Linked DNA regions of Nothobranchius furzeri. The protein of the gene in region 1 binds, or shares a complex with, the protein of each later gene. Links are inferred from orthologs where the notes say so. Each region holds a gene or a part of one and is shown in the gene's direction. Other genes may lie near its edges.

Region 1 (4,368 bases):
ACCATCAACTGTCTCCGCCCCCGTCAGCAGCAGCCAATCAGAAGAGACCAACGGGGATCCAGAAACCGACAAGAAGATCAAGAACCTAAAGAAGGTAAAGAGCATGTCGGAGTCTTCGTGTCTGTACGACAGGCCGCTGTAACCAAACACAGCAGTCGTGGCCAATCCTGGTCCTTCAGGGCCACCGTCCCTGGAGGTGATTGGAGGATGTTGGTGGTGTTCTGCGTTGTGATTGGCCAGAGAGTCAGTTATGCATCCGTGTGTTCCAGAAACTGAAGGCCATCGATGAGCTGAAGGAGCAACAGGCGTCTGGGAAAGTTCTGCAGAAGAACCAGGTCTGGAAGGTTCTGCAAAAGCAGTGTAGCTGCCTTTAGAACCACGCCCTCCTGTAACCGTAGATAATGCGTTACCCTGTTGAACCAGAATCTGAACCTTGTGTTTCCTGCAGCTGGAGAAGATCCAGAAGGAGGAGCAGCTCCTGGAGGAGCTGCGGGATCTGCAGGTGGGACAGTAGAAGAAGCCACTCAGTCCTTCAGCCACGCCCTCGTCCCATCATGCATCCCTCTTGTACAGCGACCCAGTGAGGAGTGGCGATGTGCTTGGGAGGGTCTGACTGAGCTGACCCAAAGGTCTGGTGGCTCTTCATCAGGGCAGCGGTTTCTAAGGGGCGGGGCTAATCGCTAAGGTGAACTGATTAGACCTGCTTTCGTTCCTACCTGTGGCAGCACCGCCCAGAGGCATTCTGGGAAGTGTAGGCAACAGGAAGTGCAGTGGTTTACAAATCTAAAGACTTTTGTTTTGACAGTGTTCCTTTCATAATAAAAGCCTGACCCTGCTTATTAGCGTCTGTTTGTTTGTTTGTTTTTTTGTCTAAAAAAATACTGAGCGATAGATTCTCTTTTGGACCAGGTCCAGTTCTGTTCTGCTGCAGCACCAGAACACATTTGTCCTCAGATCCTCATGCGTTAGGGTGTACGAGTGAGTGCTGAGTCAAACTGGTTATAATTAAACAACTAGTTTAGATCCGGTGGTTTATTGTTACTGCCTTGAATCGTGTCACCTTATATCTGTGGTGCTTTTATTCATCCAGTCAGTGATGACCCAAATGGCTGAACCTGTCATATAAACTTCACGAAGAACAATAAAACCACATTAATGGTCGTAGTTAGAACAGGCCATAGAAGGTCAGCAACCAAACCTGCTTCAGGGCCCAGGAAGCAGCAAAGCCAGGTTTCCTTTGGGAAAATGATTTTTTACCAACAATTCCTCTACTTGTATGTTGACCTCATGGAACAGGAGTGAGTACAGCTATAGTAGAAACTGGTATTAGTTGGATGGTGATAGGATTTTGTGTCCTTCAAACAAATATAATCAAGGTTGTACTAAAAATACCAGCTGGTTTTTATTAAATCGCATGTCTGCCTAACCTACAGATGGATCTATAGTAGTAGTGAGTTTATTAGAGGTGTTATTAATGCTTATTTAGTAAATATGAATGCCATGACTATTATGTTTTGCTAAAGCAGTTAGGCAGATCTGAACTATCTGAAATAACATTCCAGTTTCCTGACAGTGGATCAGCTGGGAGGAACGTGTGCCTGTGCTGTTAACTTACGCGTTCAATAAAGTTGTAACAAAAGCGAAGCGGTTTACGGCAGGTCGTAAAGCCAAACGCGGAGGAGGCACTTGCTGGTAAGGTAGTTGGTAAAAGGTTGCTCTCCAGTTCGTTCAGGTTCGGTTTCTGAGCAGAACCAGACCAGGACTCGGATTGTCTGAGAGCAGGGTCAGACTGTACCGGTTAGAAAATCCGCAAAGTCTGCGCATGCGTGAGACAGAAAGCCTCGGGTCCATCAGACCGAACCAAAGTGCTAGTTAGTTTGTGTCAACAAACCCTAACTAGTCCTAACCCTAACCTTAATCAGTGGGATTACATAGTAAACTAGCTGCAGGTCAGAGGTCTTGGTCACCCGGGCTCTTATTTACAACAAATACTAACAAACTCAGGATGTTATTATTATTATTATTATTATTATTGGTACCAGATTGTGAATGGAGTCATATTACTCTCTCTCTAGTTACCATGGTGAAATAATTGGTAAATTGCCTCCACTCCTTACCGACAGTAAAGAGGAATCGTTGTGATATCTAGTGATAATGTGCCACCGTACCCTGTATTAATGCTAACTGCAGCACAATGAGGCAGACTTTAGACACTTTTTACTGTTCCTGTGAAATCTCAGTTTTTAGTGCAGATTCATATTTCCTCCTTGAAGCAGCAGCTGATGACGTCACTCACTCTGACCTTAATCTTAATTCTAATAATCGCTGTAAACGTTTGTTCAACCTACAGAAAATTAAAGGCACAATTCAAGTAAAGTGATAAATGGCCTTTATTTATATAGCTCCTTCTGGGGTCCTACAGCCCCCCAAGGTGCTTTACAACATGCCTGTTTACCTGCACATTCACACACTGGTGGTGATGAGCTACATTGTAGCCGCAGCCGGTGTTCTGGGAACTTCTCCTACCCCGTAAACCGTCCTACCTGTTGTTCCTGAGCAACACAAAAAGGAAATGCTACTCCTTTGTCATATTTGCAGGAAAATAGATCAGTAGTAAGTATTAGTACTTTTTATTGACGTTGATACTTGATTTTTTGGGTTAGGGTTAGTGTCATGTAAAACACCGTAAAATTAGCCTATGGGTAGGATGTTTTCTCAGAACACCTTCCTGTGGTGCACTGACGGAGGCCAGCTTGCCGTACATGGGTGCCGTCAGTTCCTCTAACCACCATGAGCGGGGTGGGGGGTGGGGGGGTGTCTTCCCTAGGTACAAAGTTTTTCCGGAACGGCGCTGCTCTGGGTGGCTGCATGTTGGAGTAGCTCTGTTGACTATATGTAAGTTTTGCCTTTTCTTGGGTATTTTTTCTTCTAGTTTCTCAAGAAAAACTGTATTTTTTTGGACACTTTACTTTTCTGTTTCTGGTGCTGTGAAGCTTGGAGGATTTTTACTGCTATTTTTTTAGCTTTTTTCACTTTTTGAGCATTTGTTATGATGCGTAACCACGGCAACAAGCTGGTTTACAATCGGGAGCAGCTGATTAACATGTGAAAGGCTGAAATAATACCTCAGCTGAAGCCAAAAATCCCAAATGAGCTAAAACGCAAGAAGCGTGGATGCAGAGCGGGAGCAAAACGGAGACAGAGAAAGAGGAAATTCAAACCATCTCTTCCATCGATCATAATGGGCAATGTGAGATCACTGGCCAACAAGATGGAGGAACTCCAAGCCCTTTCAAGGACTCAGCCAGAGTTTCGTCAGTTTCGGAACTGCTGGAGGAGATAATGCAAAGAAGGATTCTCCAGAGAATCAAGAAAATGATGGACAACCCTGAGCATTCTCTTCACAAGACTGTCCGACAACGGAAGAGTCTTCAGTCAGAGGCTTCTTCAGTTTGGCTGCAACACTGACCGCTACTGGAGATCCTTCCTGCCAACAGCCGTTGTAATATACAACAACTCTTTGATGACTTGATTATTATTATTATTCTGAGCTACTACAGCAATCAATTTCCCTCTGGGATTAATAAAGTATTTTTGAATTGAAAACGACTGCAATAAACTGAGCGGGAGGCGAACCTGCAACCCTCCAGTTATGGGCATGCCTTTAGCTCCTCACTACCGTTGTTCCAAGTGTCTCATACTAGTGAAATTATGTGGGATAATCCTGGCCTACTCCTAGTTTATTGGTGATTATGTGTTGTTTAAAGAAATCAGATAGTTTACGTGGCTTCGTTCTGATTGGCAGATCCTGCTGATGGAGGACCAGAACCAGGAGAGCTCCGACCCTGTAGTGGCTCTCAGTCTTTGTGACTCCACCCCACTCCTGTGGCGTGCTCAGGACCTGAGGACCGTCAGGTCTCAGAGTGTGGTGGGGGCCCTGCTCGGCTCACTGCCCAGAGCCCCCAGACAGAACCTCAAACTGGGTCGACCACTGCTGCTGCTGCCAGAGGAGGAGAGACTGCTGAGGGAGCGCCACGCTGCGGCCTTTCCTCCACGGAACCAGGTCTGAATGAATGACTTTACTGTCGCTGTGAGATAACGAGTGCCTCTCCCTGTGAGGCACAATCCCAAGAAACATCACACACTACCAACGGTAACAGAAAATACCGGGCAGACTCAAGAAAGCGTCATAATTCAGTCAAATGTCACGAAGGAGGGTGTAAGAATGTTTACACCCCTGTGACATCATACGTAATTTAGACTTTAAATGTTTGTTGCAGAGCCGTAAACTGGTACTGACCTATAGCAGTTCCAACAGCTGGTGGGTGGGATCAGTGGCGGAGCCAGAACGTAGCAAATGGGTGGGCC
Region 2 (4,260 bases), on another chromosome or scaffold:
TTGATGTTTTCTTGTTTAATAGACAGTGTAGCAGTTTATCTTCATCTCATGACAGTTTCCGTCGCCATTGTGAGCCTCGCTGATGTTGACAGCATTACATTTTCCTTCTAATAAAGACCGATAGGGTGGTCAAAGTAGCATGCCTTAAAGTCAAAGTGACCTACCTAAAGCCCCATTCCCACCTGTACCGGGTCGGCCCGGGCCGGGTAGCGTAGGTTGTTTACATATCTGGGTGGCCTGGTATTTTTCCGGGCCAACCAGGGCTCGTTCTCAGCCCTCTTCTCGAGGGGGTCTGCTTCAGGCCGACCAGGGCCAACACACCCACTGCTGACAGCAAATTCACACCTTCCATTAGAGCAAGCCTCTGATTGGTGGGTAGAATCAGCCCACATGGGCTTAAGACAAGGATGTGTGGAAACAACCGGGCCAGACTGGGGCCGACTGGGGCTACCCGGCCCGGGCCGACCCGGTACAGATGGGAATGGGGCTTAAGTAGGTTCTGGTTGTACCCACAAAAACGGCTCTATCTGGTCTGAGTGATCTTGTGTGCCCCCTAGTGCAACATTCCAGTACTACATCCAGGGCACATCTGGCCCTACCCACGTGTTCACATTGTTCTGCGTGGGACTCAAACAGGACCTAGGCCTCAAAGTCAAATGAGTTCACTGCAAGTGAAACGAGCTTATCGGGCTGTTGTTTCTGGATTTCACAGCTACGTCTGAATCTGCCGTTCTTTAGACTTCTGCTCTTTGTTTAGATCAGGGGTCTCCAACCTTTTTTGGCCCGTGAGCTACTTTTACACAATGAAAGTACCGAAGAGCCATACGATTTATTCACACTGGCACTTTACGTGTAAATATGTTTGTTAAAAATGCCATGCTTGCTAAATAAGAATGCTTTGTTTTCACAAGTTTATTTCTACATTTCAACACATTAATATATAAAAGAAGATATTCTGAAAATCTAAACATTTTGTTTATTAACTAGTCAGTTTCAAATAATGAATAACAAATCTAATTTGTTTGAATGATTTGACATTCTTTTAGAATGGATCAGTAACATCACTTTTTGAGCACAGTCCTGACCCCCTGCCCTGTGGTTAATAATCTGTAGCAGACTCACGGTCTACTAAACTAAAAGTCAAATTTGTTACAAGCTAAATAAGTTTGTTGTTTTATTTTTTAAGTATTTTCACGGTTTTCCTCAAATAAAACGGTGCACTATAATATTACACAGCGGTAATTTTCCTATGCTCTTCCGGTTTGCGGAACCAAATATAAGCGTTCCTTTTCCCACCCGGACAAACTATTGTAACGCACCACCAACGCTCTGGTGCTGAGCCGCTCAGCTTCAGCCCTCCTGCGTTTAAATACGATGTTCGGTTCTAACGTTCAGTTACAAACATGGCGGAAGTGATGGACGGAACGAAGAAGCGAGGCGAGACCGAACCTCCGAACTGGATCCTGCAGCACCCGGTGGTGAGTGGAGGAGCCGGTGGCGGAAGCATGACGTCACCAGTGCGCCCTCTGGCACCGCTAGCGAACCTTAGAGAAGAGGCACATCTGATATGTTATCCTTCAGTACTAACGGGTCGTTTTACTCAAATTTCATTAGTAACGTTAAAAAACGTGTCAGAAAAAGTATTGGTACATGTAAATGTATAAAGAAAGAAGTAAAATAAGATCAAAACTGTAACATCCAATTTTTAGCATTTTTTATTCTACTGATGTGACATTATTAGCCTCAGAGTGACCTGGCTGTGGGCAGCTCTTTACCCTGAGGCCATAAATGTGATGAGTTTCCACATGAAGCCCATCTGCGGACACCATCTCCTGACCCCCGTACACCAAGGAGGAAATATATTGGGCCTGGCTCAAGGACCCTGAAAGGTCCGTCGTAAACCGGTTGCAGAGCTGATCTGTGGGCATCGTGGCAAATGAAAAAACATAAATAAATACCCGAACTCGACAAATCCCACAGATAAACGAGGGCAACCCACGGTGAACCCGCACCGGATGTCCGTCGGCTGGCCAACCCACCTGTGGGGGCCAAGCGCAGAACCGAGGAACAAGCCCGCCTGGCGCGTGCTGGTTGGCCAAAAAGCTAGTTCAATCAGGGATGCACCGATGTCTTCCCTAACCCCAGAACATTTTACAGAGAGCAGAAAACACCTGGACAGGTGGCTCGTTTGTCACACTCTTGCTTCAATCAGTCTGAACTCATCCACACCAGGTAAACTCACCTGACCCTTCTCCGAGGCTGTTCACCACACCTAAAACCCTCTTACTCATGGTAGAGGCTTGGTTATGTAGATGTTTACAGGAAAGGGGGAAGTGGAAAAGCATAGCATAGTGGAGGTCTATGGACCACGGGCCTGAGGGTGGAAGCATCCACCAATATCCTGGCTAAGTTTCAGACTGTCGGTCTTTGAAATTTAGACTCAAAAGGAGAAGGAAGTTCACATTTGGTCCCGAGTGTGGTAACGAGGTAGTGAAAGGGTGACGTATGAGGTAAACAGTCCAGTCTGTCGGGTGTTTGGATCTCTGAGTCTTTGTTGTGCTAGTACCAGCAGATGAAGGAACTGGAGGTTGGAGACAGCACACAGCTGCACGCAGCTTTTCTGGTGTTCATGGACCTCACTGAGGGTGAGTTAGGCCCGACTCGGCTCGGGTTTGTTCTCCTCTAACATGCAGGTAGAACCGGCCCACACGGGCCAAGGAGAACCTCCTGCGGACGTGATACAGAAATGAAAAGGACCTCCTCTTGACTCGGTCATCTCTCTCGCTCTGATTCTTGCCCTCTGCAGTGCGCCAGTGGACGAAGGTGACCTATGCCGAGAGTCCAGAGCTGCAGCTGGTTCTGCTGGAAGCCAAGGAGAAGGATGGAGGTCCAGTTCAGACGGTTCTGCCTCTGCCTGTTCACCGTTCCCTGAGCCACAGGAGGTGAGAAAAACTTAGACTTCAACCGACATCCCTGCTTACATTCAGTCACAGAGCCTTTGTCCCTGCTGTGCAGCATACGCCACCTTCTGGACCGCGGGTTCCCTTTGCTGCTGTGTGCCGTGGCGTCCGACTCCACCCTGGTTTATCAGAGGATGACCGACGGGTTGGTGACTCCAGAACCCCCCGTGGGACTTTTCCATGATGCGGGTCGTCGGCAGAAGCAGCGGAGAAGAAAGCAGTGATGGATGTGTAGGCGGAGAGTGCGGAGGAGGGTGCATTTAAACCAGCACCCTGACAGGCTGGAGGTCCGGCCTGTGGCCCAAGTTCAGAATATGAAGAATGAGCCACAAGAGTGAGCGTGACCTCAACGTGGGCCTTCACCAGGTTCTGGTGCCGGTGTGCGGGTTGAACGTCCCACATCAGGATGCTGCTGATGGTCTGGCGAAACCAAAGGTTTACTAACTTTGCTGTTATTTTTATGTCTTTGATATCCGATCCGAACACAAAGTAAACATCACTTGTGATCCAGCTGTGATGATTCTTTAAGTGAGCAGCAGATGCAGACGGGGCCTGACGGCTGACATCTGCAGCCGGGTTTAAACCTTCTCCCAAATCAAACTATGATGTCTCCAAGCTTGTTTTATTAAAACTGACTTTTGTGTTGTTGGAAGTCTTGCTCGAGGACACGACTGCAACGGGGGATTGATCCTGCAACCCTCCGGTTACTGGGGGGGGTGATCAGATAGCAGGAATTAGCAGCGCTGAATTCAAGAACCAGGGAAGTAGCGGCCGACCCAAATATCAGCCGGCCAATTTGGCCGTCGGTCAAAATTATTTTTGAAAGCCGATTAAAATAAATAAATAAATCAGGCACCGGTGGGGCCAACTGCTGCCACTACTGGAGTGAAAAAAGGACGCCAACACACCGTTTTTTATGTTTTAAGTTAGTTTTACATTTGAAGTTAAAAAATCTTAAGAGGTTCGACTTATTTAATTAATATAGCACACAGTGAGTGTTCATTTCACAATGGGTGAGCTGCTAAAATGGATTTATATATCGGGCTAATAATCGGCTTTAGGTGTCGGCCATCTGCAACAAAATCCTATAAAAATTGGTACCGGCCATAAAAACCACAGCGGTGGGCTACAGGACCGTGTTGGGTTTCGGTCCATTCAGCGATCAGCTCACCAGTTGAGCCGCCTCATCCACCGTCTCAGCCTCAACCCCGGCCTCTGTCTGTTGTGTCCTTGAGCAAGACATGCACCCTGCTGGTGTTATGAACCAGTGACCTCTGTGTTACAGCCCAGGGCCGTCATT

The links.
Region 2: the proteins of tsen34 (region 1) and tsen15 are in contact, whole or in part, in a crystal structure (PDB 6Z9U), measured with the Homo sapiens proteins. The link is inferred for Nothobranchius furzeri from reciprocal best matches to the Homo sapiens genes TSEN34 and TSEN15. Residues at the interface, in NP_001070914.1 of Homo sapiens: Pro251, Leu252, Arg253, Phe254, His255, Ala256, His257, Tyr258, Pro265, Glu266, Asp267, Thr268, Ile269, Pro270, Leu271, Gln272, Leu274, Ser283, Val284, Arg285, Lys286, Thr287, Leu289, Leu290, Cys291, Ser292, Gln294, Val300, Tyr301, Thr302; in NP_443197.1 of Homo sapiens: Leu70, Lys74, Trp76, Thr108, Pro109, Ile110, Thr111, Ala112, Ser113, Leu114, Ser115, His116, Asn117, Ile119, Arg120, Leu123, Leu141, Ile143, Val151, Tyr152, Tyr153, Lys154, Leu155, Thr156, Asp157, Gly158, Phe159, Met160, Leu161, Pro162.

What each region holds. Positions count from the first base shown.
Region 1 is NC_091753.1:55,691,848-55,696,215, reverse strand, and holds the start of tsen34 (tRNA-splicing endonuclease subunit Sen34), read left to right. Parts: upstream 1-1,406; 5' UTR 1,407-1,692; intron 1,693-2,812; exon of another isoform or gene 2,813-2,895; intron 2,896-3,805; 5' UTR 3,806-3,814; coding exon 3,815-4,063; intron 4,064-4,368. Other genes in the region: eif2a (eukaryotic translation initiation factor 2A), read left to right, coding at 1-94, 270-335, 449-514. UniProt on the Homo sapiens protein: Constitutes one of the two catalytic subunit of the tRNA-splicing endonuclease complex, a complex responsible for identification and cleavage of the splice sites in pre-tRNA. It cleaves pre-tRNA at the 5'- and 3'-splice sites to release the intron.
Region 2 is NC_091751.1:70,463,096-70,467,355, reverse strand, and holds tsen15 (tRNA-splicing endonuclease subunit Sen15), read left to right. Parts: upstream 1-1,282; 5' UTR 1,283-1,403; coding exon 1,404-1,478; intron 1,479-2,563; coding exon 2,564-2,645; intron 2,646-2,806; coding exon 2,807-2,942; intron 2,943-3,015; coding exon 3,016-3,184; 3' UTR 3,185-3,470; downstream 3,471-4,260. UniProt on the Homo sapiens protein: Non-catalytic subunit of the tRNA-splicing endonuclease complex, a complex responsible for identification and cleavage of the splice sites in pre-tRNA. It cleaves pre-tRNA at the 5' and 3' splice sites to release the intron.